Pelodiscus sinensis: one gene and its partners. The protein of the gene in region 4 purifies or fractionates together with the protein of the main gene of each other region. This does not show direct contact. Links are inferred from orthologs where the notes say so. Each region holds a gene or a part of one and is shown on either strand. Other genes may lie near its edges.

Region 1 (7,736 bases), on a different chromosome or scaffold from region 4:
GACTGGGTGCTGGGGGATGGATTGTGACCTAGGGCAGTGAATTGGGGTATAGCAGTGGGTGCAGGGATTTGGGTTGGGAGCTAGGGCAGTAGGGGATTGTGATCTGGGGCAGGGGATTGGGGTGCTGGATCTGGCAGGGGATATGGGTACAGGAGGGGGGCAGAGGATTTGGGTATGTGGAGTAGGGCCCAGGAGTGAGGGTCAGAGGGTTGGAGAAAGAGGGGCTGGGGTGCCAGAGGCAGGATCTGGCCAGGAGACTTACAAGCCAGCAGCCATTCCTGCATCAGCCTCTCTGCCTGCCCAGTCCCCAAACAGGCTGCAGCCTGGAGCACCTTGTGCTTTGTGGCTGCCTGTAATTGAAACAGGCAGCTCCCACCAGCCAGTTTCTGGCCAGAAACCGGCCAATGGGATTGTACCGGGATGAGAGCAGCTCCAAAAGCTTTCCCCCCTCCCCTCTGGACTCAGTTTTTAAAGAAAAAACGCCCCACAGCTGCATTTCTGAGCAATGTGCGCATAGGATAAGGCAAGTGGGGGGCCTGCCTGGGGCTCCCTGCAGCATCTGCGGGCCAGATCCAATGGCTTAGCAGGTTGGATCTAGCCCAAGGGCTGGTTTTTGCCCAGGCCTGCTTTAAAAGCAAGAAGATAGATAGGGGATCCCCAACTATCCAACATAATCACTAGGACACTCTGGATCTCCTTTAATGTTAAAAACATCAGGCATCCAGGCACACAGATGAGTGTGGCCTGCTCCTGAATAACCCAGGGAGAAAAGAGTGGGTTACACAGGTTTAATTCCCAGTTCGGACACTGACTTCCTGCATAAACTATAAAATGGAGATAGAACATAATACTACTCATTTTCTACACTTAGTTTGTATTGTGCATTAAAGCCCTGATCCTGCAATAAGCTCCATGTGGGCAGACCTCATCAGCTTCAATGCAGCTCCTTATGCATAAACAAGAACCTTATGTCCACAGCTTATTGCAGAATCAGGACCTTACATAGCAACCTCTTCAAGGAAAGAGCTTTGTGTTTTGGTAGCACCTAGCATATTGGGGCTCTGATCTCGGTTGGGTCCTCAGATTTAACATTTTTATTAAAGCTAATGTTAGAATTATATAATACACAGGTTAAGAAAAGAATGTCTATACATTGAGATGTAATGCTTATCAGATAGTCGACTAGTGATGTGACTAGTCGCTTCCCCTGACTTGCTGCCTCTATCCGAGAGAGGCGGCAAGTGGGGGAGCAGGTCCCAGTGCTAGGAGCCAGCTTAAAAGCTGGTTCCCCTTAGCACCATCTCCTCGGGGGGCAGGGGAGGTAGAGGCACAGCGGGAAATGGCGTGAGCAGAGACTGAAGCTGTCTCTGCTCGTGCTGCAATTCTGTTTTTCAAATATACAAGAGCCCCACTGGGGCTCTTGTACATTTAAAAGGCTGAGGCAGGGCTTCCTTTGAAATGTAGCAAAAGAATGTGTTTCTGCAGTGGCCAGTTGGGTGGACCTCCAGGCTGCCCCAAGCAGCTGGCTCCAGGTCAGCTGCTCAGGTGGCCCCAGGGACAAACACACTTGCCATTTCTGGAGAGGCTCTGCACTAATGGTGCAAAAATGTGTTTATTTTGGTAAACATGTAACCGCTGAAAATTTCAGCAGTTACATACTTGCAGATGGAGGAGGCGGGAGCTGGCTCTTAAGTTGGCTTTCCACGAGCACCTGATCCTGCCTCCCTCCCCAGGCTGCTGCCTCTTTATTAGAGGTGGGGATATTAAATATCAATTAACTTAATAGTCGAGTAACCTCATTAATTCTTATAGGCTAGTCAACTATTCTATAGCCCCCAAGGATGGGACTGGCAGCCAGTGCCCCCTGCCACTCCGTGTTTCTATTGCTATTTTAGAGGCAGCCGCAGGAGCTGATCCACGAGGGGAGCCAATTTAAAAACCAGCTTGCCTTGCGGACTGGCTGCCTATTGTCCTGCACTGCTGTCTGATAAAGAGGCAGTAGTGCAGAGTGGTAGCAATCCCTGTGTGGGAGGGTCTGAGTTCCCGGACCCAGTATGAGCCAGAACTGAGCTGGGTTGCCTACCTGCCCAACTCCTAATACAATTTAAATGCAGAGCCACAGCAGGGATAGGTCCCAGACCCGTTGCAAGCCGAGACTGAGCCAGGCTGCTGGCCACCCTGCTAAGAAATTTAGTGGCGAGGGGAGGTGGGAGGGAAATGCTTGTCGTCTGGAGCATTAACCTACAAGCTTTTGCTGATCAGTTAATCGACTACACTATTACAGCCCTACTCACAGGCAGCATCTCAGATGCGCTGGCTCTCCCCCCCCCCCCCGCCTGATCAAGAGGGCTGCAGTAAGGGTGAGGGTTAAACAGGAGCCCGGGCTACATCTCTACCCTGCACCCGGCCGCTTGCACAGCCCCGCAGCCAGCTACGCGGCCTCCGCTCGGCCGCCCCGGGACCAGCTGGTGCCCTTGGCCCAGGGGCGTCTCCCCCTCCCCCACACTCAGTCAGTGCACGAGCGACAGACACGTCACAGGAATTGTATCTACGTAGCCAACAGTCGGGTTTGAGTTTCGGGCGGCGCGGCTCAGACAGCGACGAGCCGTGAACTGAGCGGGGGGGGGGGGGGCGAACAGAGACCGGGGCGCCCCTTCCCACGGCCGCAGGGCGGCACCCAACTGTCCGCCCCCCGCGCAGCCCCGCCCCCCGTTACCTGGATACCGTGCACGATGTAAACCTTCTCCGCCTCGCTCAGCACCACGGACGCCATGATGCGCGCCGGGTTCCAAACACACCGGCCGCCGCCGCCTGGTGATGCCGTCACCAAAACGCGACGACGCTAACTTCCCCGTCGCTTCCCTGCCGTCCCTCCACCCGCACGGAGTTACGTCAACCGCTCGCGCGCGCCGTGCGATGCCTGCGGGCGGGCGCGTGCACCGCCCTGTGTGGGTGACTCAGAGTCACTGCGGGGCTGGGGCTGCGCGGGAGCTGCTCCCACGTGGGGATAGCAGGCGCGCAGAGGGCAGAGCCGGATGCTCTGGGTGGACGCGCCACGTGTGCGCATGCGCAGCTCTTAATCTGGGCGGCCTGCTGGAGGGGTGCGCGTGTTAGTGCAAGGGCGTTGTTGGTCCGCATTGTGCCTGGATGCAGAGCCCTGCACATTGGGGATGGCAAAACCCGTTATTACTGTAACCGTGTAGCCGGTCAAACCGGTTACACGGTCACTCGCTGGCTGCCAGCCCACTTCCAGGGAGCCAACGACCTGCCTAGCCCTGCAAACTCATACAGGGCAGCAGAGCAGTGTGGCTGTCAGCGCCTCAGGAGCCCTGCATACTGGGAGCCAGCTTTTAAGGTAGCTCCCCATTAGGGTTGCCAAGGTCCAGTATTGAACCAGACAGTTTGGTATTTTCGCCTCCTGTCCCATAAAAAAAATCAAAAAATACCTGACACCTAAAATGTCCGGTACTTTCTGATTTTTTCCCAGCCAGGAGGCGAAAAATCTCGGGCTGTCCAGCTCAATAAGGAGGCAGCCTGGCAACCATAGTGCTTACCAGGGAGTTGTCTGGCCCAGTGCAGGGAGGCAAGATGGCGGGTGGCTGCTGGTAGCCTGTTAGGGCCAAAAAGCCTTACCACATGTTTCTTAAGAGGGCCATGCTGTTATTTTTATTTTTGCTTAACTGTCAAAGGGGGGACGGTACTTTTTCTGAAACCATCTGGCAACCCTATTCCCCATCATCATGTAGATGTCTACAAGATTAACTGATAAACCTGGCTATCGGTTAATCCTGTGGTCTACACGCATTTCATCTCCCCCCCCCACACACACACTCTTGCTGCCTCTATATCAGTGGCTCCTGCGGATCTGCCTTCTCCCACTTACTGCCTGCTATATAGGCAGCGGGGGTGGGTGGGGAACAGACAGGAGTTGGCTTAAAAGTCAGTTCCTCCCAGCACCAGCTCCTCTGTGCTGCCCCCCTCTATGAAACAGCTTCTGTCCATGGCAAGCTTGGGCCCACTGCAGATAGGTTGTTGTGCATTCTATAGAGCAGCCTTACCTAGGCCTACCGTGAACAGAGGCTGCTCCATGGCAGCAACTTCTGTCCACAAGGAGCTCAGCCCCTCCCTCCCACCCCAACAGATCGTGTGACTAAGGTATCATCTCAAAGGCACTTCTCTCACTTAACGAGTAGACCACTACCAAATGTACTGTTGATTTTGGTCAATTTCATAGTCACAGGATTAAAAAAAAACCATAGGCATGGGTGGTCAGTAATTTAGGCAAGGGAAGGCAGAGCCTTCCCAAAATTGCTCACAAGACCAACTGCCTAAGGCTGGGGCTGCCAGCCTGGCTCTCCCCAGCCACCGGGGAGGCATCGGGCCACTGCTTGGTAGCCCGGCTTCCCCTTTCCACTGGGGAGGCATGGGGCTGCAACTCGGCAGCCCAGTTTCCCCCCGGCCGCCAAGGAAAGCTGGGCTGGGGCTGCAGTACGACAGTCACAGCTCTGCACATGGCCCAGAAACCTCGAGTGGAAGGGGACAGAGCTCGGGCTTGTCTTCCCCAGCTGGCCTTTCACCCAACGCCCATAACCATAGGTTTTGTTATTTCAACTATTTAAATCTGAAATTTCAATGTTGTAACTGTGGGGGTCCTGACCCAAAAAGGAATGGGTTTTTGCAAGAGGGTTTTTGTAGTACTGCTAGTACCCTTCTGTGGTGCTGGTACTGGCAGTGGTGCTCAGCAGCTGAAGAATGGTGACTGCTGGCCGGTCACCCAGCTCTGAAGGCCAAGCTGCATGTAGCAGCAGTGCAAATAAGGATGGTATTGCCACCCTTCTGCACTGGTGCTTGTAGAGCTAGATCCTCAGTCAGCAACTCTCTGGCCACCCCACTCTGAAGGAAACAACAGAGAAATAAGGATGGCATGGTATGGTATTACCACCCTTCTACACTTCTGCTGGTGGGGTGCTGCTTTCAAGCTGGGCATCAGGCCAGCAGTCACTGCAATCCATCCACCCAGTTCTGAAGGCAGCACAGAAATAAGGGGGGGATACTGCAACCCCCCTAAAATAAGCTTATGATCCCTGCAACTCCCTTTTGGGTCAGGACCCCCAATTTGAGAAACTTGGTTTCCCCCATGAAATCTGTATTATATAGGGTATAAAAACTCAAAAGATCAGATTTTACAAGGGGAGACTAGCTTTCACAGTTCATGATGAGTTTTTCATCAAAGCATAGGGCTGGAAGACACCTCAGGAGGTCATCGAGTCCAGCCCCAAATTCATGGCAGTGAATTTGGTAGGACCCTTTAATGAGTGTTTTAATATTTTGTTTTTTCCATATAATTCCATGTGTGGCCTTGTGCCTTATTTAATGCATGCCAATCAAATCCTGCTGTAAAGACAGAATTATTAATTGCCTCATGGGCTTTGGTATGATGCTTCGCACTGTATTGAGTGAATCAGGAATATGAATGAATTTATTTTCACAAAATCCATGTATGATTGAGATAGTATAAATATCACCATTTTACAGATGTGAAACTGAAGCTGAGAGAGATTAAAGTGAAAAGTATCTACTAATTTTGCTACTCAATTTAACATACCTAGGATTTGATTTTTTTTTTTTTGAGTACATGGTAATATATAGTTAGGGATGTAAGTGACTAGTTGACTATCTGAATAGCAAATGCTTATCAGATAGTCGAGTAGTGACTCAACTAGTCGCTTCCCCCTCCTTGCACCATCTTGGCGGGGGGTGCAGCAGGAAACAGCACAAGTGGGGACTGCTTCAGTCCCCGCTTATGCTAGTTCCCTCTATGGGCTCTTCTGCTTTTGAAATGTACAAGAGTCCTGTGGGGCTCTAGTACATTTCAAAAGCAGTCCCCACTCACCCTGTGCTCTCTGCGGCAGCCCAGAGGCATCAAGCCTGTCTCAGAGGCAGCAAGAGGGGGACAGGAGCCAGTGGAGAGCCATCTTAAAAGCCTGTTTCTCCCAGCACTGTCTCCGGGGTGCTGCCTGCCCCTCACCCCGCTGCCTCTATCAGAGGCAGCAGTGCGGGATAAAGAACACTGCTACGAAGCAGCCTCCGTCTGCAGGGGTCCTAGCGGGGAGCTGGGCCTCCCCACAGACAGGGGCTGTTGCTACCAAGCAACCCCTGTTCAGGGTGGCCAGGCCGGGCCATGGGTAGGGGTTGCTCAGCAGCCACCCCTGTCTGTTGCCAACCCTGTCTGCCATGAACAGGGGCTGGTGTCTGAGTAGTCTGTGTTTGCGGTGGACAGGGCTGGTCGCCGCAGACAGGCTGCTCTGGCACCAGCCCATGTCCGTGGCAGACAGGGCTGTCTTCTGTAAACAGGGGCTGTTAAACTCATTGCAAGCTGGGACCAAGCATTCCCATCTCGCACTGATCACTGTGCCTCTGCATTTTAAATGTAATAAAAGCCCAGCAGCTCTTACTGCATTTATAATGCAGAACCACAGTGCGGTTGGCTCTGGAGCCAGCATGAGCCAGGACTGCTCTGTCCCGGCTCAAGTGGGCTCCTGGAGCTACCCAGGTGCCAGACTGAGGGGGGGGGGGGGTCACCACTAGGACCCAGAGTGTAGAAAATTGTGTCTGCTGCTGGTGCATGTGTATTTTCTCTGCAGAGGAGTAGAACAGGAAGAGGGCAGAATTGAAACCTTTCAAAGTTTTGGCCCAAGCAAGGCGGCATGGGGGTGTCATTTGAGCTCCCCACTTTGGGTGCCAAAATGTTGTGGGCCAGCCCTGGAGCTACCCTCACTGCAGCTCTGCAGAGCAGCGCTTATCGACTAATCATATAGTCAATACAAATTGTTTAGCCAGATAATAGCATTTTAACATCCTTATATATAGTATTTCATTTGTTCAAAGCATAGCTCTCATCTACTTCAGCTGCAGTTGTGCGAATAAGCGCCAACTCTTTGGGGTGGGAAGAGGCGGGACAGAGGTGGTGTAAGCTTGGGGAAAGGGATGGAGTAGGTTCAGGACCCGGGGGAAATCAGCATCTGTGTTTGAGTGTGTTCGGCACATTTGAAAATCAGACTCCAGTTGAGAATCTTGCATCTAGTACCCAGAAAATAAAAAACTCACAATTAGTGACTACCTGTAAAAAGTGTAAGTGACTTGACTAGCATCATGTCAGAACTGTCTGGCTCAGGCAAGAGTTTTCTTTAGTGCACAACACTAATTCACGCTCAGTAAGTCTGTCCTGCATATCGAATGAGGCCAGGATTCAGTGGGAAAACTGTATGTGATTAGAGCTGCATTGTAATGTATGTGCACAAGAGGTCTGTCATTTTGGGGACTTGATTTTCTGACTGTAATGTTCTTTTAAGATAGACTTTTTGGCTACGTCTACACTGGCCCCTTTTCCGGAAGGGGCATGTAAATTTCAGCAGTCGTCGTAGGGAAATCCGCGGGGGATTTAAATATCCCCCGCGGCATTTAAATAAAAATGTCCGCCGCTTTTTTCCAGCTTTTAAAAAAGCCGGAAAAGAGCGTCTAGACTGGCCCCGATCCTCCGGAAAAAGTGCCCTTTTCCGGAGGCTCTTATTCTTACTTTGAAGACCTTACTTTGAAGTAAGAATAAGAGCCTCCGGAAAAGGGCACTTTTTCCGGAGGATCGGGGCCAGTCTAGACGCTCTTTTCCGGCTTTTTTAAAAGCCGGAAAAAAGCGGCGGACATTTTTATTTAAATGCCTCGGGGGATATTTAAATCCC
Region 2 (6,928 bases), on a different chromosome or scaffold from region 4:
GAGCATTGGGTCAGTGAGCCACTATTGTCTGGCCAGACCCTGGCTGGATTTCCTGCTCCCTGCAGAAGTAGAGGAAGGAGATGGGGTTTGCCCAGTGCCATCACCAGTCAGAAAGCAGAACAAGGTAGGTGACACAGTAAGTGCCAAAATCACTATGGACCACACATACTCACCTCACGTCTCTGGATCCAGGAGGGAATGGCAGAGTGTCTGGCCCTCAGTCACTCTTCGAAAGGAGTACGTTGTCACTGACCCAAGTTGTATCAGCAAAAATACATATAGAATCTTAATTTAAAAAAATAAAACGAATAAAGACCAAAATAATCTAAATAAAGACCTCTGTTTAAAAAAATATTACAAGGAAAAAACCAAAGCAGCTTCTCATTTTTCTGTTGAAGCTAAAGTGATTTAAAAACCAATTCCAAACATATGGCAATCCTATAATCTTATCCCAACCTCTACACTTTTCACAATGGAACAGTAGGGTCTTTTGCAGATTGAGATGGGGCTAGGATTATTACTAAAGGCCAAATCTATAAAATGCATCATATACTGTTGTTAAATTATAAAAACACAGAGTTTGTGAAAGCATTAATTCCACTAGCTCCTGTATTTATAATTTATAAACTAAATCTAGAAACAGTTCAGCATATAATAGCAAAGAAAGTTAGAAAAAGTTTAGACGCACAAATACTCAAGTTAAAAGAAGGTCAGGACTAAATTGGAGTTTGTAAAAACACCTTGGAGCTCTGAACAGAGAAAGAGAATAAAGCACTGAAGTTAATCTTCACTGTAGTGTTTAGCTTGATCAGTAGTGTTTAACCTAACATATTTTGTGCAAAGTATAGACAAACGAGAGCAATAACAGAAATTACTAATAGTACTTTCAAATTAGAACTAAAATCTAACTCATAAGAAAAAAAAATCAAAGCTGCTTCTTTTGAAACCCAAAGCTTTTGCAATTAGCAAATAAGGCTGCAGTAATGCAATTGGCTCCCCATATGTCTGCACCTGTGATGAGTCAAATTGCAGGATTGAGGACAAAAGCTAGACAAGTAATGAGGCTCAAATTACAATCTATTTAATATTGCATGTTTGCTGTGTAGACAGTGGGTATTATTTTGCACCATTTTTAACACAGCAAAATGATTTTTCTTTCCCTGCTTCACACTAGTTTGGAACTGTATAGTATTTTTAGTTTTTGGTTAGTTAATATATTATTGGACTGTACTACAAGATTATGAATATAAGGTAGAAAATGACCAGTGGCCTGTCTTATGATAGCTATTTTATTCATGGTTACTTCAGACGTAGCCAAAACTATCCTCAAAGATGTAACTGTTAATGTGGTACGGCTAAAGCTCTAAGTCTTCGCTACTTCTACATATTGGATACATTCTTCTTGTGGTGGTTTAGCCTTTTTAACCAAATCTCTACCAGGTATGGGTTGAACATTTCTACTCCAGCACGCTCTGGTCCAACATCAACCATGGCATGATTTTAGTTAGCCAGATGTTCACTTATGCTGGGTGTGGCCAAATTTCCCATGGTCCCGTAAATTGTGTTTACAGCCAACAGTCCTGACTCTCAGTGGCTATGTCTACACTGCACAGTTATTTCAGAATAAGCCATTCTGGAATACAGGCAGTCCCCGAGTTACGCAGATCCGACTTATGTCGGATCTGCACTTACGAACGGGGTTTGCTGCCCATCTCCCTGGTCTGCTGGAGACCAGCAGACCAGGGAGACGGGAAGCAAAGCCTTTGAGGACGCCGGCAGCGGGACAGCCGTGACGCGTCTGGGCTGTCCGCTGCCCGCGTGCTCCGCGGCTTTGCTCCACGTCTCCCCAGACCAGGGAGAAGGGGAGCAAAGCCGGGGAGCACGCGGGCAGCGGACAGCCCAGACGCGCCATGGCTGTCCCGCTGCCGGCGTCCTCAGAGGCTTTGCTCCCCGTCTCCCTGGTCTGCTGGTCTCCAGCAGACCAGGGAAATGGGGAGCAAAACAGCAGAGCACGCGGGCAGCGGACAGCCCAGACGCACAGACCAGGGAGACGGGGAGCAAAGCGGAGCAAAGCCGCGGAGCACGCGGGCAGCGGACAGCCCAGACGCGCCGCGGCTGTCCCGCTGCCCCCGTGCTCCGCGGCTTTGCTCTGGATGCCTGTGGTATAGCAGCCGGGGCGCTGCCGGTTGGTCCCGTAGCGCCGCTCTGGGCGCTACTGGACCAACCCGGCAGCACCCCAGCTGCTCTGCCCCAGGCGTCCTGATTCAGCCACTGCTGGTCAGTTTCAGCAGCGGCTGAATCAGGACGCCAGGGGCAGAGCAGCTTGGGTGCTGGTGGGTTGGTCCAGTAGCGCCGAAGAGCGGCGCTACTGGAGCAACCCGGCAGCACCCAAGCTGCTCTGCCCCAGGCGTCCCCAAGTCAGCTGCTGCTGAAACTGACCAGCGCTGACTACAGGAAGCCCGAGGCAGAGTTGCTCTGCCCCGGCTTCCTGGAATCAGCCGCTGATCAGTTTCAGCAGCAGCTGACTTGGGGACGCCTGGGGTTCTTAAGTTGAATCTGTATGTAAGAACTGGCGTCCAGATTAAGCCTGTTGAAACTGATCAGCGGCCGATTCCAGGAAGCCCGGGGCAGAGCAACTCTGCCTCGGGCTTCCTGTAGTCAGCCGCTGGTCAGTTTCAGCAGCGGCTGAATCTGGATGCCAGTTCCGACTTACATACAGATTCAACTTAAGAACAAACCTACAGTCCCTATCTTGTACGTAACCCGGGGACTGCCTGTAGTTATTCTGAAATAGCTTATTTCAAAATAGCACACCAACACTACAGGGAAGTCTCAAAATTAGTCCAAGGCAGGCTTCCCTAATGTAGATGTGTTATCTCAATTTAGAGCCTCAGGAAGAATAATTAAGAATGGCCCTAGCGAGGGGCTATTTCGAAATAGCACAAGTGGAATGTCTACACATGCCTTATTTCAAAACAGCTATTTCGGAATAGGCGTTATTCTTCTTAGAATGAGGTTTACAGAAGTTGAATTAAGCTGTCCATTATTTCAAAATCATTTCGAAATAATAGAATTGCTGCTTAGCTACTCAGTTATTTCTGAATAACAGCCATTCTTCCGAAATAACTTTGCTGTGTTGACACACCCAATGTTCTATCTTGTTACTTAGCTCCAATTTACCTCAACTATCTAACCTCCCCCAAAATAAAATAAAAAACTTAAATAACAACAAATGCTCCTGCAACACCTTAGAGACTAACCAAAACAAAACAAAAAAATGTGGATGATATGAGTTTTCATGGGCACAACCTACTTCTTCAGATGGCATCTGAAGAAGTGGGTTATGTCTAGGAAAGCTCATGATAGGATCTCTATTTTTGGTTAATCTCTAAGGTGCGACAGGGCTATTCCTTGTTTTACCCTTTTTCAAAAAAACAAAAAAGCAGCCATGTCCTAACACTTCAAAGACTAACAAAGCAGTTTATTAGGGGATGAGCGTCGTGGGGCAGACCCGCTTCTTCAGACCATATTCTGACAGTGAGTATTGTTTAGGTACAGATTGCACAGCTACCCCGAGCCTGCCACTGTGCAGGAAGCAGCGGCGATGCTGCTAGGCAGCACCCCCCCTGCCTACACAACGGGGCAGCGTGTTGCGAGACCGGCCGGCGGGGTGAAGGTGGAATGTTCGCGGGCGCACCTGGCTGGGCCGGACACATTTGTCCGCGCGTCCCACGTCACAGACACCCCTCCCCCCAGCTCTGCAGGCTGTGGAGACTCAGCCTGCGGCTGCTGACGTAGAATACCGGCGCTGTGGCCCCAGACGCGCCCGGGCGGCGGCGACGTCACCACGGCTAGCGAAAGGAGCGGTGACGCTCTCCTAATGCCGTGCCTCGCCCCCTCCTTTCCGCGCCTGCGCACGGCTGTCCGCCTGTCCCGTCGCCTCTTGATGACGTGCGGGAGGCGCGCGCGCGGAGAAGCGGGCCCGGAGACCGCCAAGCCTCGCCAGCATGAAGGAGACGCCGCTGTCCAACTGCGAGCGGCGCTTCCTGCTGCGCGCCATCGAGGAGAGGAAGGTACGAGAGAGAAATCCCCCCCCCACTCGGCGGCGGCGCCGCCACCGGCCAAGCCCCCCCCTCCCCTTCCCTCCCATGGGCGCTCGGGGCCCGATGCTGCGCCCGCCCCGCGCAGCTGGTGACTCTGCTCTCGGCTCCGCAGCGCTTGGACGGGCGGCAGAGCTACGACTACAGGAACGTGCGCGTCTCCTTCGGCGCCGACTACGGCTGCTGTGTCGTGGAGCTGGGCAGGACCAGGTACCGCGGGGAAACCCCGCCCCGTGCGCCCGGCGCAGGGCTCCCATGACGCTCGCGCACGCGGTGCGGGGCCGCCACAGCCTGGGGGAGGCGACAGCGATGAATGGGGGGAGGGGGGGAGAGAGGAGAACAAATTGAGATCGGTCTCCCTGGAGGTGTCCGAAGCTACCGCGTCGGAAGCGGCAGATGAGCCAGTCACGTGCATGTAGACCTGACCTTGGCTAGTGGCAACTCATTAATCCCTCCGGCCCGACATCTCGAATTAAGCAAATTTGCAGCACCTGTGCGAAGTAGGTGGTAGCTCTATGGTATAGACTGGAGGAGCTGAAGTAATCATAAGCGATGTTTCCCTTAATCTTTTCCCATCCATGTGTGGAATAAATTATGTTATGCACACTGAGGCATGTTTGAATGAGCACCACCGGTAGGAGGAAAAAACTAGTTGTAGGCATTCTTCCAATCAGCCAGAAGGCCTTTAAATCTCTCCTGAGCAAGCCACACAAGCACACAGCTTACACTGGACACAAGTAAATTGTTGGCACTCACACAGCAGTAGAATTGATAATAAAGCCGAGGAATTTGAGTGTCCAGTGTGTGCTCTTCACATCTAGCTCTTGCTTGTTCCCTATTAGTGACTAGCATTTTAGCTGTATGGCCAAGGCTTACATAAGCAGTAATAAATTGGAGCCATGCAGTAAAATTCAGGTGCAAGTTGTTTCAATATTAAATTTAATTAAATATTATTTTTGTTATCTATACTAAAGTATTTTGTTATCTATACTAAAGGGTTTGTGTGGGGGGCGGGGTTCTTTTGCAGAGTCCTTGGACAAGTTTCATGTGAACTTGTTTCTCCAAAGCTAAATCGAGCTACAGAGGGTATACTTTTCTTCAATCTTGAGCTCTCTCCAATGGCTTCACCATCTTTTGAGCCTGGCAGGTATGTGCCCTTTCCATAGTGACAACAGACAAGGATGGCATAAGGAAAGCTATTCAGTGTCATATTTATCAGGATTATTATAACTCACAACTGATATGTAACCAATCTCTTGTTTGTTTTTCTAGGCAATCTGAGCTTTTGGTGAAACTGAATCGACTATTAGAAAGATGCCTCAGAAACTCAAAATGTATAGACACTGAATCTCTCTGTGTTGTTGCTGGTGTAAAGGTGTGAAAAACACTAATAAAATCAAAAGATCTTTAATACTAGAGGACTAATATATTGCATGTAGCGGTCAATCTGTCTTTGAGGACCAAAAATTCTGATTTTATTTTAAAAGACTATGGTTTCAGCTGTGCAAACATAGATATGTGTCTAACTTTAAAGATTGTACATAGTAGATTAAAAGTCAGTGGGACTGTTGGGATATGTAAAAATGAATAGGGATCGGGGTGTGGGGGGGTAGATACAATAGTGATAGGGGTTCTAGCCAGAGCAAGCATTTTGGCTTTTTGTGTATATTTTTTTCCCTTTTGTCCTTGAAGCCTAGGGAGATAGTTGCACTGAATACCGTTTTCTTTGTTTTGTCTTTACACTTGCTCTGTAAAAATACTTGAAGGGTCAGAGCACTTCCCCCCTCCCTGTAAGCTGCTAATTAAGACAGTATGTAATGCTAATTTAATTAAAAACCAGTAAACAACAAACAGAGGTTGGCATAATTGTATTCATCACCTGCTTATTAATATTCATTGTATGGAAGTTAACTTTGCTAAATAAGAGTTTATAAAAAGTAGTAATAAATGTGAGAATTAACATACCAAAATAGATAAACGAGTGTAACTGGTGCCAAATCATTGCCACTTGGAAAATTTTGTTGGGGGTCCAAAGTAAACATGCGTAAGCAATACAAAGGTCCCTTTAACCCATCCGCTCCTGGGTCACCTATTTTCTCGAACAGGTACTATATACATGCTAAAGCTAATTACTTGCATGAAATCATATTTCAATTTTAATTTATCGCAATCAGTATTGAAAGTAGATACTATTTCTCTTCAGATATGTTTTATCCTAATTTTTTGATGATCAAGAAATAAATTTATACTTCCATTCAACATGAATAGTAAAAAGTTATTTTGAAAAGGTGTTGGAAAATCAATACAAGTTACCAGTCATACAACAGTTTCATGAATTGTCACCTATTTTTTATAATTTAGGTGTGGCAAATTCGTGTGGACCTGCATTTGTTGAATCACGATGGAAACATTATTGATGCTGCAAGTATAGCAGCAATAGTGGCTTTATGTCACTTCCGTAGACCAGATGTATCTGTGCAAGGAGAGGAAGTAACGTTGGTGAGTAGGATAAAAGGAAAGCAGTGGTATTGTTGAAGTTAAAACATCATTCATGATAGCTTCTGTATATAAAATGGATCTTTGTCAATAAAGACAAATTAAATCTTAGGGGAAGAGCTACTTAAAACAGTTCTTGGTTTTCAGTTTGAGAGATCGTAACTATTTAAACATTAAATAAGGAAGACAATTTTATAGCACTCTTTTGTATTTCTCAATCAAACTGGAAACGCTCCATTGGCTCTATGGTGGATGCAGTATAGTTACCTACATAGGTAATATTTTGGAAAACATTTTAAAAAGAGCAAGAATCAAGTTTTGATGAATTTTTA
Region 3 (7,715 bases), on a different chromosome or scaffold from region 4:
CTGTGATTCTCCCAACCACAATGTCACCAACTTCCCCGTTATATCTGGGAGCAAGAGAAAAAGGGAAATTCTATTCAAGCAAACCTCTTCCCGGAGTAGCTCAGATACTGCTTGACTTGGGTACTCGTATCAGCATGACACTGATTAAAAACACAAGCAGGGCCAAGCTGGCAAGAGTCACAGCACTGGAGTCTGTGCAAACTGCAGCATCAACGTTTCCAGTACTAACATTTATTATTTATAACTGGGCTCAAAACAGGAGTTAGTGGATGAAATGTTCTGACCTACGTTACACAAGTCAGATTAGATGGTCCAATGGACCCTTCTGGTCTGACAATCCAGGAATAATATGGTTACACAATCCACTGATCTGGTGTAGATAGAAGCATTGATCTGATAGAGTTTGACAAATTCTACATTCACCCCCAACCCATTTCCAAATGTCTCCCACTGTTGGACACACACTGAGACCATCTGTTGGCTTATGCCCTGTTTCTCTAAGTCTTTAAGTGGGAAACACATTGCTAGGAATTGGAATATCCCACACAGAGGGAACATTTGATTTTTAAATAGGTTCAAAAAATGGCTTTGGTCTCAAAGCCTGTTCTCACCTGGTTTTCAGAGCTTTGACACAGATCAGTTTGTTCACTCTCTCAACAGCGCCTGCGACAGATGCTATAAGTTTCTCATCTCCCATATACGTGCCATGGCCCCTGCCGTAAAAGGATACATCAAACATCCACACACATCTGCCATCTCTACCACCCTGGGGTTAGCCAATCCATGCTTTCACACCCCAGGCTTAAAGTAGCCCCAGAGTTATTAGGAGAAAAGAGTTCCCAAGCTCTCTGAAATTAAAACAGGAAAGAGAAAGGAAGCTATTTCTCCACCACGGGAGGGATGAGATCTGTCTCTCTCTTCCCCATTCCCAGTGAAGGGTTTGTGAAATAAAGATACTTTCATGTGGTGACACCGCTTAGCCTCCTTCCTCAGGTACACAAATGGTGCAGCTTTTAGTGAGTCTGATCAGTTCCGTTCTCAACACAGCTCTACACAGAGTGATTAGGACCAGCTCTAAGCATAAGGCAAGTAACAGTCTGGGACACTGAGAAGTTTACATTAAGGTCTAAAAGGGCCTAATCCAGGGTGGGCAATAAGTGGCCCTCAAGCCAGGCACAGTTCACCATGGTTAACCCCTGGTAGGTCGCCGGACACTTTATTTACCTACGTGTCCGTGGGTAAGGCCACTTGCAGCTCCCATTGGCTGGGAACAATGTGCTGTGGCCAACAAAAGCTGCAAGCAGCCATACCTGCAGATGCTCAAGCCGCTTATTGTCTGGCCTAACCCTACGCTTCATTCACCAGTCAGGTGGACTGGAGGGGAAACCCAAGCAAGGCAAGCAACTGTTCAGGGCCTCCCAGAATAACCACAATGACCCACGGCGTGAACTCTTCCTTGGGGCCCCATTCCCCAACCCTGAGGAGAAGTCATTTTCTGCAACTGGACTCTAGGGGTAGAATGGGGCAGGGAAGAAAGAGCCAGAGCCATAACAAAGATGGGGCAAGCAGGGTGCTTACCCCAGGCACATCATAATCAAGAGCGCAAAGAAAGGATGTTAAATTGCATTTAATCAGTTAATTGAGTAGTTGATGGAATTTCCATCGACTACTTGATTGGTCAATAAGGGGGAAACTGCAGAGCTGCAGCAGGGTTAGCCTGCTGCAGCTCTTACTACATTTAAGAGACAGAGGCATAGCATCTGGGACTGGGCACAAGCCAGAACAACCGAGTCCCGGCTCATGCCCGGTCTCCTGCTGCATCTCTGCCTCCCCTGCCCTCCACGGAGATGGTGCTGGGGGAACCAGCTTTTAAGCTGGCTCCCCTCCACAGCGCTAGCTCCTGCTCCCCCCCTTGCTGCCACTGATAGAGGCAGCAAGGGGGGGAGGAGAGAGACGTGACTAATGACTTGACTACCCAAGAAGCCTAGGCTTACTAAGTAGTAAACTATTCGACTAGTTGCTTACATCCCTAGCACAAAGCGTAAAAATAATAAGCTGCAAAAGTAAAAAGTGCGACACATGCTAACTTAAGGAAGAGGGGGGTGCATAATGAATATTTTGCCCCAGGCACAAAAAATACCTAATTACAGCACTGGAAAGAGCAGCCCTTCAAAAAAAACTGGGACTGAAGGAAAACTCTGTTAATTCCCAACAACCCCTGCCACCAGGATGGTGTGAGGGAAGAAACCCTCTCCTAAAACCCATTTTTACAGGTAAGGAAATTAAGGCAGAAAGAAGTGAAATGACTTGATCAAGAGAACCCAGGGTTCAGAAATCTCTCATTTGTCCAGGATGTTGGGGATTCAGAACCACTTTTGTTCACATATCATACAGGGACCATGCCCATAGCCTTAGCTGCTGGAATGGGTGGGGATAAAGGGCTGCCACAGGGATGCAGGGGGACAAAACACCCTGCCCCAGACCCTGAGGACGGAGATCGGGCTGCACCCTAGCCCCCTGGTTGGGAGATAAGAGACCCTGCCCCACAGCCCATGCAATGGGGGGGGGGACGTGCCACAGCCCCATGTCCGGGGGGATAAGAGACGCTGCCCCATAGCTCATACCACGGGGAGGGGATAAGGGGCTCTGCCCCACAGCCCATGCAATGGGGGGGAGGGGCGTACCACACCCTATGGCCCTGCCCCATCCATAGGCTCCGTCTCTGAGATAAGGGAAGGGCCCCACCGGAGGGAGAAGAAACCTGGGGGAGGCCCCTCACCTCATGTAGCCCGTGTCTGTGGTGATCGTGTCCCCCGGAGCCACCAGGTGCTTGTCGCTCCCTCTTGCCTGGCTCTGGCCCGCGAGCTTACGGGCCACCGGCAACCGAACCTCTATTGCCGCCATCTTAACTCCTGGCCGTTTCCTTCGGCTTCAGCGCCCGTCCGAATCAGCCGTGCCCTCCGCCATGTCTGTTACTGGCAACAGCACGCGCGGGGAGCTGCCCTGTTGGCTTGGGGCGTCGCCATCTTGAATGAGGGCTGGACGAGCCTCAGCAGCGATGAGGCTGGGGAGGCCATATTGGATCTTGGCAGGGGAGGGGGGGATAGTCTTCGCTGCGTAGGCAGGACTAGGGTAGGGCCATGTTTAGTGTTGGCAAGCTGCCTAGGCTGTGGTGCCCTCTAGTGCTGGAGGGGAGGTGTTAAGGCTACAGGAAGATGCCTCCTCCCCTAAGAGAGGCCACATGTTGGTACGTCCCAGAGACAGTATTTCATAGGAACTCTGTGCATTGGGTGTATTCGCCCCCCACATCCCTATGGAGCCCACGGGCCCTATACACATGCCCAACAGCAAGCAGGCGCCTGCCTGCCAAACCTTGGGGAGCGGCAAAGCAGTGTTGCCAACTCTCATGCTTTTGCCACTCGTCTCAATTCTCGTGCTAATGATTGTTTTCCTTAAAGTCCCTGCTCGGGTTGCCAGGTTTTGAACTGGACAGTCCAGAATTTGAGGTTTCTGTCTGGTAAATAAATTGAGAAAATACCAGACCTATAAATGTCCGGTATTTTCTAATCAAGTTAGTTGTATTATTATGAGTATCAGTACGTAGCTGTGTACTGCCTGGCTGGTCGACACGCTCACACTGCGTGAGTCCACATTGCGTGAGTGTGTCTAGCAGCCAGGCAGTACGCAGCTACGCAGTAGAGAGGGGTCAGGGCCGGAGCGGGGTTGAATCTCCGGAGCCGGACTCGCCCGTGCACCACGCTGGGACCGTGCATGGGATGAGCAGCACCCCGGGATCTGCATGTGCCCGGGCCAGCCCCACTCCCTGCCAGCCGATTCTCTCCCCCCCCCACTTTCCCCTCCTCCCCCATCCCAGCCTGCCCTGCTTCCTGCTGGCCGGTTCTCCACCCCCCAGCTCCCCCAGCCAGCCCTGCTCCCCCCCCACCCCTTCCCGGCTGGTCCCATCCCCTCCTCCGATCTGAGATCAAGTGTGCCCGGTATTTTTTTTGTAGACATCTGGTAACCCTAGTCCCTGCTCCTTCAAACCAGATCCCAAGCACTCAACAACCCTTTCATGAGCTGTCACTGTCTACTCAGATACACAGCAGCTGTTTAACAGCTCAGAGCACTGCTACATGGCCATGTAAGGCAGGAAGTATCTGACTCAGTGGTTCTCAACCTATTTACCATTGTGGGCCACACATGCAGCTCTCCATGTGCTACATGAGCCACATCCATGATGTATATACTACCCGTATGGCCTTGAGGCAGATGTGTACAGATTGGGATGCAAGTGGCCCATGGGGTGAACGCCACTGGTTTGACTCAAACTGCAAGAATGTATTATCTACATAATATAGAAAGGAAAAAGGATGTAATATTAAGAAATTAATTTTTACAACTAAGAAAAATCAGCTCTTTTCATTTTCCTAGCCATACTGTCACTTAGGCCAGGTCTACACTACTCCAGAAAGTCAACCTAAAATACGCTACTCCAGCTACGAGAATAGCATAGCTGGAGTTGACATTCCTTAAGTCAAATTTCTGCAGCATCCCCAGTGTAGATGGTTGATGGGAGAAACTCTCCCATTTACTTCCCATACTCCTTGTGACCCAGTGGAGTGCTGGGGTCGACAAGGAAGCTATCAGCAGTTGAATAGGCAGGTCCTTAGGAGACTTGCTAAATTGAATCCTGGAAGATCCATCTCCAAAGTCTCGATCTCAGGGTAAGTGTAGACCTGGCCTTAGGGATTTAAGAGAGAGATCATACTATGGTCATCAGCCAGTGCTTCCCATTGCATTAAGTTTAAATGCAGCACAGGCTTCCATCTGGTAAGCTAAATTATCTTCCCCACTTGAGTAGAGGGCTATATCAAACAACAGCTGTTATTATGATTAAATATTTGCACTGTGATAGCACCCCGAGGGTCCAATCAGGATAAGGTCACCATGGGGCCAGGCACTATGTAAACATAAACTGGTACATGTTCATAAGAACGAGATTGTGGTATTTCTTTCTGCGATTCTGCTGCTGTGCTGAATTACAGAGTGGGATTCTGTTTTCACCCTGAGAGCGGTGTTACTCCTAACAGCTCTGCTGTTAGAGAGAAAGAATCAAGTCCGCACATTCCAAAGTTAAGCTAAAAAGATTTGTAGACCTGATCTTGCAAAGAGAACCATTTGGTGATACCCACATGTATCCTAAGCACGGTGGACAGGAATTGATTAGGATAGCAGCTGTGCACTGCCTCTAGAACATGGTATGCTGCAAACAGGCCCTGTTCAGCATTGCAGGGCACTAGCAAATCTTGATCTGTGATCCATGGCTGTGTTTGTCTTTAAAGGCTAGTTAATTCCAGAAGGAGGTGGGAATAGTCCTGTGTACCTCTGCAGGAATTTGTCTTCATCGTCATATTCCCTTTACACCTCGGCTGTGTCTACACTGGCAAGTTATTCCGGAAAATCAGCCGCTTTTCTGGAAAAACTTGCCAGCTGTCTGAACTGGCCGCTTGAATTTCCGGAAAAGCACTGACAATTTAATGTAAAATCATCAGTGCTTTTCCGGAAAAACTATGCTGCTCCCGTTCGGGCAAAAGTCTTTTTCCGGAAAACTGTTCCGGAAAAGGGCCAGTGTAGACAGCACAGTAGTGTTTTCCGCAAAAAAACCCCGATCGCGAAAATGACGATCAGGGCTTTTTTGCGGAAAAGCGCGTCTAGATTGGCCACGGACGCTTTTCCGGAAAAAGTGCTTTTCCGGAAAAGCGTCCTGCCAATCTAGACGCACTTTTCCGAAAATGCTTTTAACGGAACACTTTTCTGTTAAAAGCATTTCTGGAAAACCATGCCAGTGTAGACGTAGCTCTCTGGTAGTTAGGGCAGTGATAAAACTCCTCCACTCCTGTCTGTTTCTGGCAAGTCTTTCAATGGCTCCCAAGCTGTGCCCCATTTTTTTCAGCTCAGCTTCCACAGCCCTTTGCCATGTTGTTTTCAGACAGCCACATTTTCACTTGCCTTCAAGTGTCCATCTTATTGCTACTCTGGTGATAGAATCAGTTTCCATCTGAAGCACATGGCCAATCCATCTCCAGAGCCTCCTGGCTATGATGGTGCTTGGCTTCACGGTGTGAATAGACCTTGGTTTGAGATTGTTCTGGGTCAGAAGATATGAAAGATTGTTCGGCAGTGGGTTGTATGGAATGAAGACAGTTTGGACATGTGATACTTTCTCATCCCCCAGCATTCTTCCCGCTAAAGTAATGGTGAAAAGACGCTGCGTAGACACTTCTTGAGTTTGATTTTGGTGTTGGCATTTTGATTATTTTCTGACTGTATTTAAACTCCTGGAGGGGTTCCTGGCTTAACTGAGTCTGTTCAGATGCCCTGGCTTGTTCCTACCATCCTGGCTGATGGTGTTGCTCAAGTATGTGAATGATTCTAGATTGGTGAGAACATGATCCTCCAGCTGTACAGGTGATGGTGTGGCAATATTAAAAGTCATGATATTTGTCTTATTGCAGTTGATTTTCAGTCCAATTTGCTGGCTGAATGTGTTGAGTTGAGTTGTTTTTCTCTTGTTGGTATGCGATCAAAGAGCAAAATCATCTGCAAAGTCCACGTCTTGAAGGAATGCAAAGGGCCAGCCTATGGTGCATTCTAAAATCATAGGGAATCCCTCTCCATATAATCAACATCATCAAAAACTTCTGTTCCAACTTTATGTAACCCAGAAGCACTGAGATCACTGGGAAGGGCGAGTCAAATCCCGGATGAGCCTCTGCTTGTAGAGCTGACGAGCCCAGGTTGTCTGTAGGATTGAACCAGAGACATTAAGGGCTAAAGCCTTGGGGCTCGACCACATGAGCTAAAAAGCTATCTGGCGCTTAGTGAAGGCTGTATAGCAGACATCACTCTCCCGGGTCAATGATTTCAGTGCCTCTGGGTTACATGTTGATCACAGAGCTCCGTTTGAAATCAAAACAGGACTATATCTGGGATGTGTCATGTCTGCAATTCCCTTCAATATTGTTACTGAAGACAAAATTGAAGAGGAGACAATTGGATAATGCAGCATACAACAGAAGATATGCCAAGAGGCATTAAATGGACACCCATCTCGTCCCTTGAAGACCTGATCTTCGCAGGTGATCTCACCCTCCTATCACATATTCAACACCATAAGCAAGGAGAAAATGGGTTCAACACACTGTGCTTGCATATCTATTAGTGCCTTGTGTCTCTGGCTCTGTGCACATGCATATGCATAAATTGTTTTTTCCATATTTTAAAACCATCATCTTTCTAGATGCAATGATGGGTCTTGAAAATAATTTATCTGGATTGAGCAGTATGCTCTGTCCAAAATGCATGAAACCGATGCTAGATTTTAAGGCCAGGAGAGAGGCTATTTTGATCATCTAGTCTGACCTCCTGTATAACAGGATCTTTTGTTCATTTCACTCAGCTACAAGCTAGGATCCTGTAAACCGTACAGGGGTAAAAGAAGCAAATTATCAATTATACCCACTAGGAGAAGCTCCACTAGCCCTTTCCCAAAACCATCATTATTCTTTCCTAGCACATACAGAGAAAGAAAACTCCCAAACGAATAACCTTCTAAATGATAAATGTTCCAAGTAATTTTTATTTAGAATACAAGCGAGAGAGGTACAAATGTATTTACAGCTGTGTACATATACCATCAAATAATATATAATATC
Region 4 (7,215 bases):
TGCTTTGTTATGATCTTTCACGTGACTCCGACAACCATGATATTGCATCACCTTGCTCATACTAATAAAACAATAGTTCAGTTACTCTTTAAATGACATTAAAAGCAGGTATTCTGAAAACTGGTGTTATTTGTTAAGATCCTTTCTGAGCTCTGGCTACTCCGAGACTTACAAAATCAGACACAGACTCCTTAGATACTGTTGTAAGAACTTTGAAAATGAGAAGCTATGAGTAAGTACTAAGTATTGCTATTAATTTCTTTACTGGGTCTATGGAACTTAGATTGGGTCTTCTGGTTAAAAAGTCACCTTTCCATCAGCCCATACCTACTCAGTGGCGCACCTAAATTGTTACAGTTACTTTACAGAGGTAAAATGAATGACTCCATTTTTATTGTTACCATTTAAATTTCATGAATCAGAAAAGCAGCTGACGTTTTTAAAAAGCAACAGAAAAATTGTAATAAAAATGCTCATATATTGTTTTATTTTGAAATTTGCAAAGAAGAGACTTCTCTGTTCCCTAACACAGATTTTCACCACTGGCATAAGAAAGCTAAAAAGTCCTTACCAGTGAAGCAGCCTATCACCTTGTGTTTCACAGTATGCCCGGAATCCAGGAAAGCTGCGATAGAAGTCATATTCATCTCCAGGCTGAGGTAGCCCATTAGATGCTTTAGTTGCAGCGACCACTGTGCCAAGCGCATGCTGTTAAAAAGCATCACACCAAGAAAATATAATTCCACAATGTATTTTCATTTTTTGATGATCTTGCCAGATGAACACCTTCCTCGCACTTACATTACTATTACAATCTCATTCCTCGCACTTACATTACTATTCCTAAACCAAGCCACAACTAGGCCTTTTTAACCAAGAGTGTTTACAACTATTTCATCCTGACTTAATTAAACTAATACTAAAAAAATAAAAGAAAAACCTTACACCGAAGATATTTTGATTTAATAAAAATATGGGTATAATGGCTACAACTTCAGAACTAGGAAGTGCTGTCTCTAAGGTGGGGGGGGATTTCTCAAATGTCATTGCACTGTGAACCCTTTCTGAACTGAAACCTGAATCCACCCAAGTCCCACCACCATAGGTTTTGGCCCTGGATGGTAGGGCTCAGGGCTGAAGCAAGTCTAAGCCAACCCTGGTGACCACATTAAAATGGGCTTGTGACCCATAGTTTGAGAACCATTGCTCTAGGCCATATCTAGACTATAAAATTAAATCAATCTAACTTACACTGGTACACAACTGCTGGAATAATTGCATCGCTTGTGCATGTTTACACTTTGCTCCTTGTGTTACTGGTGCATTTGTATAGATTTTACTGTCACTGTGAAGCATTTAGGGAAGCTAGTAACAGTCTATACAATAATGTCATGTGTACACTGTTACTGAATCAATGTAACTACATTAATTTTGATTCTATGCTACTAAGTGGTGAAATTATTGGGGCAGTTAAGTTGGCAGGAGTGAAAGTCTGGACACTTTCATGGTTAGGTCAATGTAAGATGCCTTGCATCAATCTAAACTCTGTTGTGTAGACCTTGTGTAGCTCAGATTTTGGTCTATAAGGTGCATGGGTGAGGGAACATGTAGGAATTAAGTTTGTAGTGATGGCAACACTATGGTTTGTAAATCAATTTGTAGAACACTCTGTCAAGCTTCAGTTAACAATTCCTTTTAAAAGTTCATCTATATGCTAAAATTAAGGTCTAACGGTTGAACACATTTTGAAAGCCATTCTTGCTGTACCATAGTGATAATTTAAGAATACAGAGAATCCCACCACACCAGTGCTGCCAAATTTGTGGGTTTCTTCTGAATTTTTCCTGTTAAGACAAATAACTAAATTTAAGGATGCTTTCAGCACCACAGCCCATTCATGAGCTACTACAGGTGTTTATGTCCTATTTATCTCACCACCATGATTCTAGTTCTCCAGACTCCCCTGCAGGGAATGCCTTAGCTCAGTGTTTGAGAAAGGCTGCGGAGCCCCAGGGCTCTGCAAGGTTGACAAACTGGAAACATCGATAGGTACAACACATACAATCAGTGGACCGCTGGGGCTCCGCATAAATTTTTACACATGTAAAGGGCTCCGGAGCCGAAGACGTTTGAGAACCGCTGCCGTGGCTAATTTGAAAGGTTATGCGGACAACTTCCCAGGAATGGGAAGACAGTGCGATATTCGGAAAACAGGAGACTGCAGCCGGGGCCCACACAGACAACAGGCCCGCGTGCACGACGCTAGTCCCAGGGCCCGCGGCTCGCACCGCTTCATTTAACAGGCCTGCAAACGTGACACAAGTCAGGCCAGTGGGCTGCAGGGGCCCCCCTCTCCCAGGGCAAAAGGAGCTAAGGCGGCGGCGCCCAGACACCGGGAGGCCGTATCGGAGAGGGAGGGGCGGGCAGACAGGAGCTGTGGGGGGGGGGGGGGGGTAAGGTCCGTCACAGCTCCAGAGGCTGCTGCAGCAGCGGGGCCGAACCCCCACGCAGTCGCCCCAGGCTCCCCCTGCCTCCTCCGCGCAGCCGCGATGGGTGGCCCAGGCGCAGCGGCGGGCTCAGGGTCACTGCTCCCGGCCCCGCTTCCCCTCAGAGCGAGGGCCCCGGGGCGGCAGGGCCATCCTCCATGACCCGGCAAAGAGAATGCTGGGAAATCCAGTGCAGGCAGCTTCCCCTCAGGCTTCAGCATCAGCAGGGTGGGGGGAGGGAAGGAACTACAGTTCCCGGCATGCCCCGCTGCAGGGTTTGCCGCAGAGCAGGCTGGGAGTAGTAGTCTGCAGCGACTCCTTCACGCACCTTGACGAAGGAGTCAGCATCCCTGAACCCCGGTAGAACGGTATCTGGGCAGCCGCCCGGCGGCTCCTCCGTGCTGCCGCCACTCCCCGCGTCTATTAGCTGGCTCGTCTTAACGGCTGCGCTGCGACTCCCGCCTCCGCCGGCAGCCGCCATCTTCCGCGCGGTCCCACGTGACGCGTCAATGGCTTAGTCTCGCGATAACTGAACCGGAAAAAGGGTGGGGGGAGTGTGTATGGTGGAAGTGTTGCTAGACGCATGCGCATTGAGGTGTGGGCGGCAGACTTGCAGGGTCCCTGCCTAAGAGCGGTAGCGATGCAGCCGTGTTAGTCTGGTCTAGAGCGAGCGAGGGTCCTGGAGCGCCCCTTGCGGCGTGTTCCGGGGGCGCTCAGCCCAGCACTGGCTATACGCCACCCTCCCCCCCATTTGAGCTCAGCCACTCTCGGCCTAAGCCAAAGCCGCTGTGACCTGGGGAGTAGGGCAGGTGCCCGTCTGGCTGAGCTCCAGGAGCCCCTACTGCCGGCTGCCCCACCTGCGGCCCTCGGGCAGCGAGCCTGTCCCGTACCACGCCTCCCTCTGGGCAGCAGCTTGGCTGCACCTTGGAGGGTGTCCACGCTGCTCCCCATCGGGAGGGCTTAAGCCCTTTCTGTAAATGGACATTTCCTGCGACAACCCGGTCTAATCTTGACCAGGCTGCAGCCTGACATAAGGGCACGCGGGTGAGCTGGCTTTGATTCCTGGAGTTTTCTGTACAGGTTAGATGCGTGGCACACACTTCAGTCTACCAGCAGATGGAGACTACACCTCAGCTTCTTACCAGTGACATTCCTCCACCAGTATACAATCTTGGGGAGCTGGTTCTCTCAAAGCAGGAATGATGAAGATTAAAACAGGTGAAACTTTTTTTCCCTATCCCTGTCCAGACACTTGGACTGTGTCTAGACTGCATCCCTTTTCCGTAAAAGGGATGCAAATTAGACACATCGCAATTGCAAATGAAGGGGGGATTTAAATGTTTAGATGCCATATTCCTTATTTTAATAGGAATAAGGGATCTTTCTGAAAAGGCTTTATTTTCCGAAAGATCCGTGTCTAGACTGGTGCTTTTTTCCGGCAAAGCTCTGAGCCGGAAAAAAGCGGCAGTTATGTTTATGCAAATGAAGCGGGGGAGATTTAAATTTACGGAAAAGGGATGCAGTCTAGCCACAGCCTTGGTATTTCCCATATATTTCTGTGGCTAGTGTAGTATTGGATACAAAATGATAATGGATCTTTCTAACCTTAGCATCTTCGAATCTGTATCAATAGAAAATGTTTGCTAAGAAGAAACAGCATAACCACCATCCCTTCCCCATATACACCACAATGATAAGATTAAAATTCTATGTACTTGGTCTCTCAGAATCAGTTTCTTGTAACGAGAAAAAAATGCCCCAAAAGCTAGAATAAAGAAACTTTATTCTTACCAAATTACAGTCCACTTAAGAACATTGTTTTAGTTTCCAGCAAGAGAAGGATATTGGCTTTTGAGAGGAGCTGTTATAGAAAGACCTGGAGAATAGGATGGGTGCAGAAGATCACCAATGCGGAATTATGTAGGAAGATATAGCTGAAAGAGAACCTACTGCAGAAAGTTATACAACGGAAGTTACAGCTATTCGGGCAAATCTGCAGAATGAACGACGAGCGAAAAGTTAAGACCCCGGTATTCAGCATAATGGATGGTCCGAATAGGAGAGGCAGACCCCACAGAGAATGGGTAGATTATATAGTAAAATGGTGCGGAGCTAGTCTACAGAAGCTAAGCCACTCCGCACTGGACAGGGAAAGATGGAAGGAAATAGTGAGGGAGGCATTGGACACCAACGGGCACTGAGCCCATGGTTATTGTTGATGATGAAACGCAACTAAGTTTATTAACAGTTAAACTCCTTTGATAAAGGTACCCCAAGTTTTTTAGTGATACCCCATACTCTGCCAACCGTGTTTGTGGCTCCTGTAGGTTTCTGCTATGGGTTCTCAAACTTCATTGCACTCCAATCTCCTTCTGACAATAAAAATTACTGCACAACCCTAGGAGAAAGGACCAAAATCTGATCCCCATTGCCCCAGGTCCATAGGCCAAAAACAAAGCCCTAGGGCTTCAGCCCCAGAGAGGACACCTGTTACTGCAGCTGCACCACCCAGGGCTAAAGTCCTTATAAGCTTTGTCCCTGGGCAGTGGGCCTCAGGCTTTGTTTTCGGCCCCAGCAAGTCTTCATGTCAGGCCTGGTGACCCCATTAAACCAGGTTCAGGACCCATAGTTTGAGAACCGCTGTCTAATGTAATACCTTTGTGTCTCAGTTGTGCTCTCCACAAGAAATGCTTTGGAATAACCAAAATCCAGTCAATCTTTTAACATTTTGGTGTATTTTATTGACACAAAAATATTCAAATACAACATGGCATCTAAACATGGCTACGCTTTTGTATTTTGTGCATTTTAATATGTTTTATTAATAAATCATAACTTTATTTACCTTCACCCTCATGTTTAATATGCATTATTCTTCATTTCCAGGTATGACCAGTTCTCCCTTCTGCTTTTTGTGCTGAGTATTCAGTTTTCCCTAATTATTTCCCAGCACTGCTTTTCAGTCTGCCAGTGTGGGAAGTTCCCAAGTGATATTCTGATTTACCTTGCCATCTACCCTCTTTCTTTGAGACATTCTGCTCTGACTGGCTCAGAGGCTTTGACCCTGGATCTATCTCTATATTTCACATCTGAAATGTGCTAGATAAATCACCCCTGGAGTCAGACACACATCTTTCAACTACAATCCCTTCCCTCTGTTTTTGGTGAGAGTACAGAGTTTTGGGAAAGGTGAGATAATGGGGTAATACTGACAAAAAACCTCCTCCTTCTTCTTGCTCTCTACCTTCCAGCTCTGTCCCACACTTAAATGTGCATTCTCGCATGAGGGCACTGAGTTCACTGCAGCCACGCCAAAAGGACTGACCTGGGAATGATTCAGCTGCAAATATTTTAGTATAGTTACATTGTAAGTCAAGTCAAAACCCGTATTTTGTTATTTGTAATGGATCACCAGTTCCTCAAAGACCAAGTGAACCAGGTATTTGTGGTCTAGTCAGTCTTCATTGTTCTGGAAACCCAAATCAAGTCTTGTGTTTCATATAACTTGTGTTTTTCAACAGCAGCTATGAATTGGCTTAAACCAACATTTAATATACAATAACTCTTAATTTACATTTTGAAATATATGACAGGCTGTATTTCAGTCCAAGATTTCAGTTTGTAGAAGAATATATCTGGAGTGCAAAAGCCTCCAAGAAAGGCTGAGGATACTCTGGAATCTTCTGTTACCAAAAAGGACACCTAAAGATGACAAATGTAATACTTTAAGTGCAGTCTTAGCCATTGCTCCATAAAAACAAAGACTATGTTAAAAAGAACTTAGGTCCCCAATGTCCAGGAACCTTTCTAAAATAACAAGGACACTGAAAATGGGATATGAGACAGAAAATGCTTCTTAATCCCTAACATTCCTAATGTCTGTAATCCCCCCCAAATCGCCCACCAGGATTCATAATTTGCATACAATTTACAGTTAAATCTCAGAAAGATGAAGGCATTGTGAAAGTGTGCTTGTTGACATTAGACTCTGTAATTTCCCTCCTATAACTAGCAATTGGTGATCTACATACAATAGGAACATCTTGTTTCAAATGATTAAAAATTCTGAGTTGATCATCATTTAAATAAGCCCCTTTTCTTTAGTAGCAGACTGCTTGCCTGCTTACGGGCAGTGCCCGCGGTGATGATTCTAAATCAAATTTCCATTTTGCTAGATTTAACAAATCTAACTAATTTGCATTTTGTTAGATTTAATATAATGGTCACAAAAGTTTACAAGCTTACATACAATATCTCCCCAGCCATCCTCAGAATGATTATTGAGATAAACCTAATAATATTTTACTTGACTGTTCTCCATTCCATAAACTCATACCACTATTTATTTCAGAGAAATGGGAGAGAAGATTTTGAAAGGACAGTTTAAAGACAGACTCACCATCCAATGTAGCACTGGCAGAGATTCTCATGCGAAGTAGCTTGCTTAATAAGCAATTCTACTTGCGTGGGTACATCCAGAGTTTCATCGTGAGAGAAGTCTCGGCCTTTACAATTAAAGTGAAAAAAAAAAAAACCATTAAAGAAGGATGTAATCCAAATTACATAGTTTAGTTTGGGTGGCAAGTTGTGGAGCGATATGAAGATGACCCTCTCTCCTCTTATAAATATATATTTGTCACAGAATTATTCAAAGATGACACCTCAAAATCCATACTGAATCTATTTTGAAACCTTTAGAACACTAGTGTTTTCGATGATCCATCACAGC

Evidence for each region.
Region 1: the proteins of EXOSC10 (region 4) and EXOSC7 purify together in Homo sapiens (affinity purification with mass spectrometry; 6 studies listed by BioGRID and IntAct, counting the BioPlex papers as one, with this or other methods). This does not show direct contact. The link is inferred for Pelodiscus sinensis from reciprocal best matches to the Homo sapiens genes EXOSC10 and EXOSC7.
Region 2: the proteins of EXOSC10 (region 4) and EXOSC9 purify together in Homo sapiens (co-immunoprecipitation; 7 studies listed by BioGRID and IntAct, with this or other methods). This does not show direct contact. The link is inferred for Pelodiscus sinensis from reciprocal best matches to the Homo sapiens genes EXOSC10 and EXOSC9.
Region 3: the proteins of EXOSC10 (region 4) and EXOSC2 fractionate together in Homo sapiens (co-fractionation; 9 studies listed by BioGRID and IntAct, with this or other methods). This does not show direct contact. The link is inferred for Pelodiscus sinensis from reciprocal best matches to the Homo sapiens genes EXOSC10 and EXOSC2.

The regions. Positions count from the first base shown.
Region 1 is NC_134712.1:178,144,311-178,152,046, reverse strand, and holds the start of EXOSC7 (exosome complex component RRP42), read right to left. Parts: upstream 3,019-7,736; 5' UTR 2,774-3,018; coding exon 2,717-2,773; intron 2,319-2,716; exon of another isoform or gene 2,304-2,318; coding exon of another isoform or gene 2,295-2,303; intron 1-2,294. UniProt on the Homo sapiens protein: Non-catalytic component of the RNA exosome complex which has 3'->5' exoribonuclease activity and participates in a multitude of cellular RNA processing and degradation events.
Region 2 is NC_134715.1:37,047,824-37,054,751, forward strand, and holds the start of EXOSC9 (exosome complex component RRP45), read left to right. Parts: upstream 1-3,913; 5' UTR 3,914-4,007; coding exon 4,008-4,073; intron 4,074-4,215; coding exon 4,216-4,310; intron 4,311-5,127; coding exon 5,128-5,247; intron 5,248-5,372; coding exon 5,373-5,475; intron 5,476-6,461; coding exon 6,462-6,599; intron 6,600-6,928. UniProt on the Homo sapiens protein: Non-catalytic component of the RNA exosome complex which has 3'->5' exoribonuclease activity and participates in a multitude of cellular RNA processing and degradation events.
Region 3 is NC_134732.1:13,764,862-13,772,576, reverse strand, and holds the start of EXOSC2 (exosome complex component RRP4), read right to left. Parts: upstream 3,014-7,715; 5' UTR 2,905-3,013; coding exon 2,780-2,904; intron 714-2,779; coding exon 612-713; intron 45-611; coding exon 1-44. UniProt on the Homo sapiens protein: Non-catalytic component of the RNA exosome complex which has 3'->5' exoribonuclease activity and participates in a multitude of cellular RNA processing and degradation events.
Region 4 is NC_134733.1:11,594,736-11,601,950, reverse strand, and holds the start of EXOSC10 (exosome complex component 10), read right to left. Parts: upstream 3,002-7,215; 5' UTR 2,968-3,001; coding exon 2,815-2,967; intron 2,652-2,814; exon of another isoform or gene 1,357-2,651; coding exon of another isoform or gene 1,252-1,356; intron 709-1,251; coding exon 572-708; intron 62-571; coding exon 1-61. Other genes in the region: serine/threonine-protein kinase mTOR, read right to left, coding at 6,173-6,188, 6,886-6,991. UniProt on the Homo sapiens protein: Catalytic component of the RNA exosome complex which has 3'->5' exoribonuclease activity and participates in a multitude of cellular RNA processing and degradation events.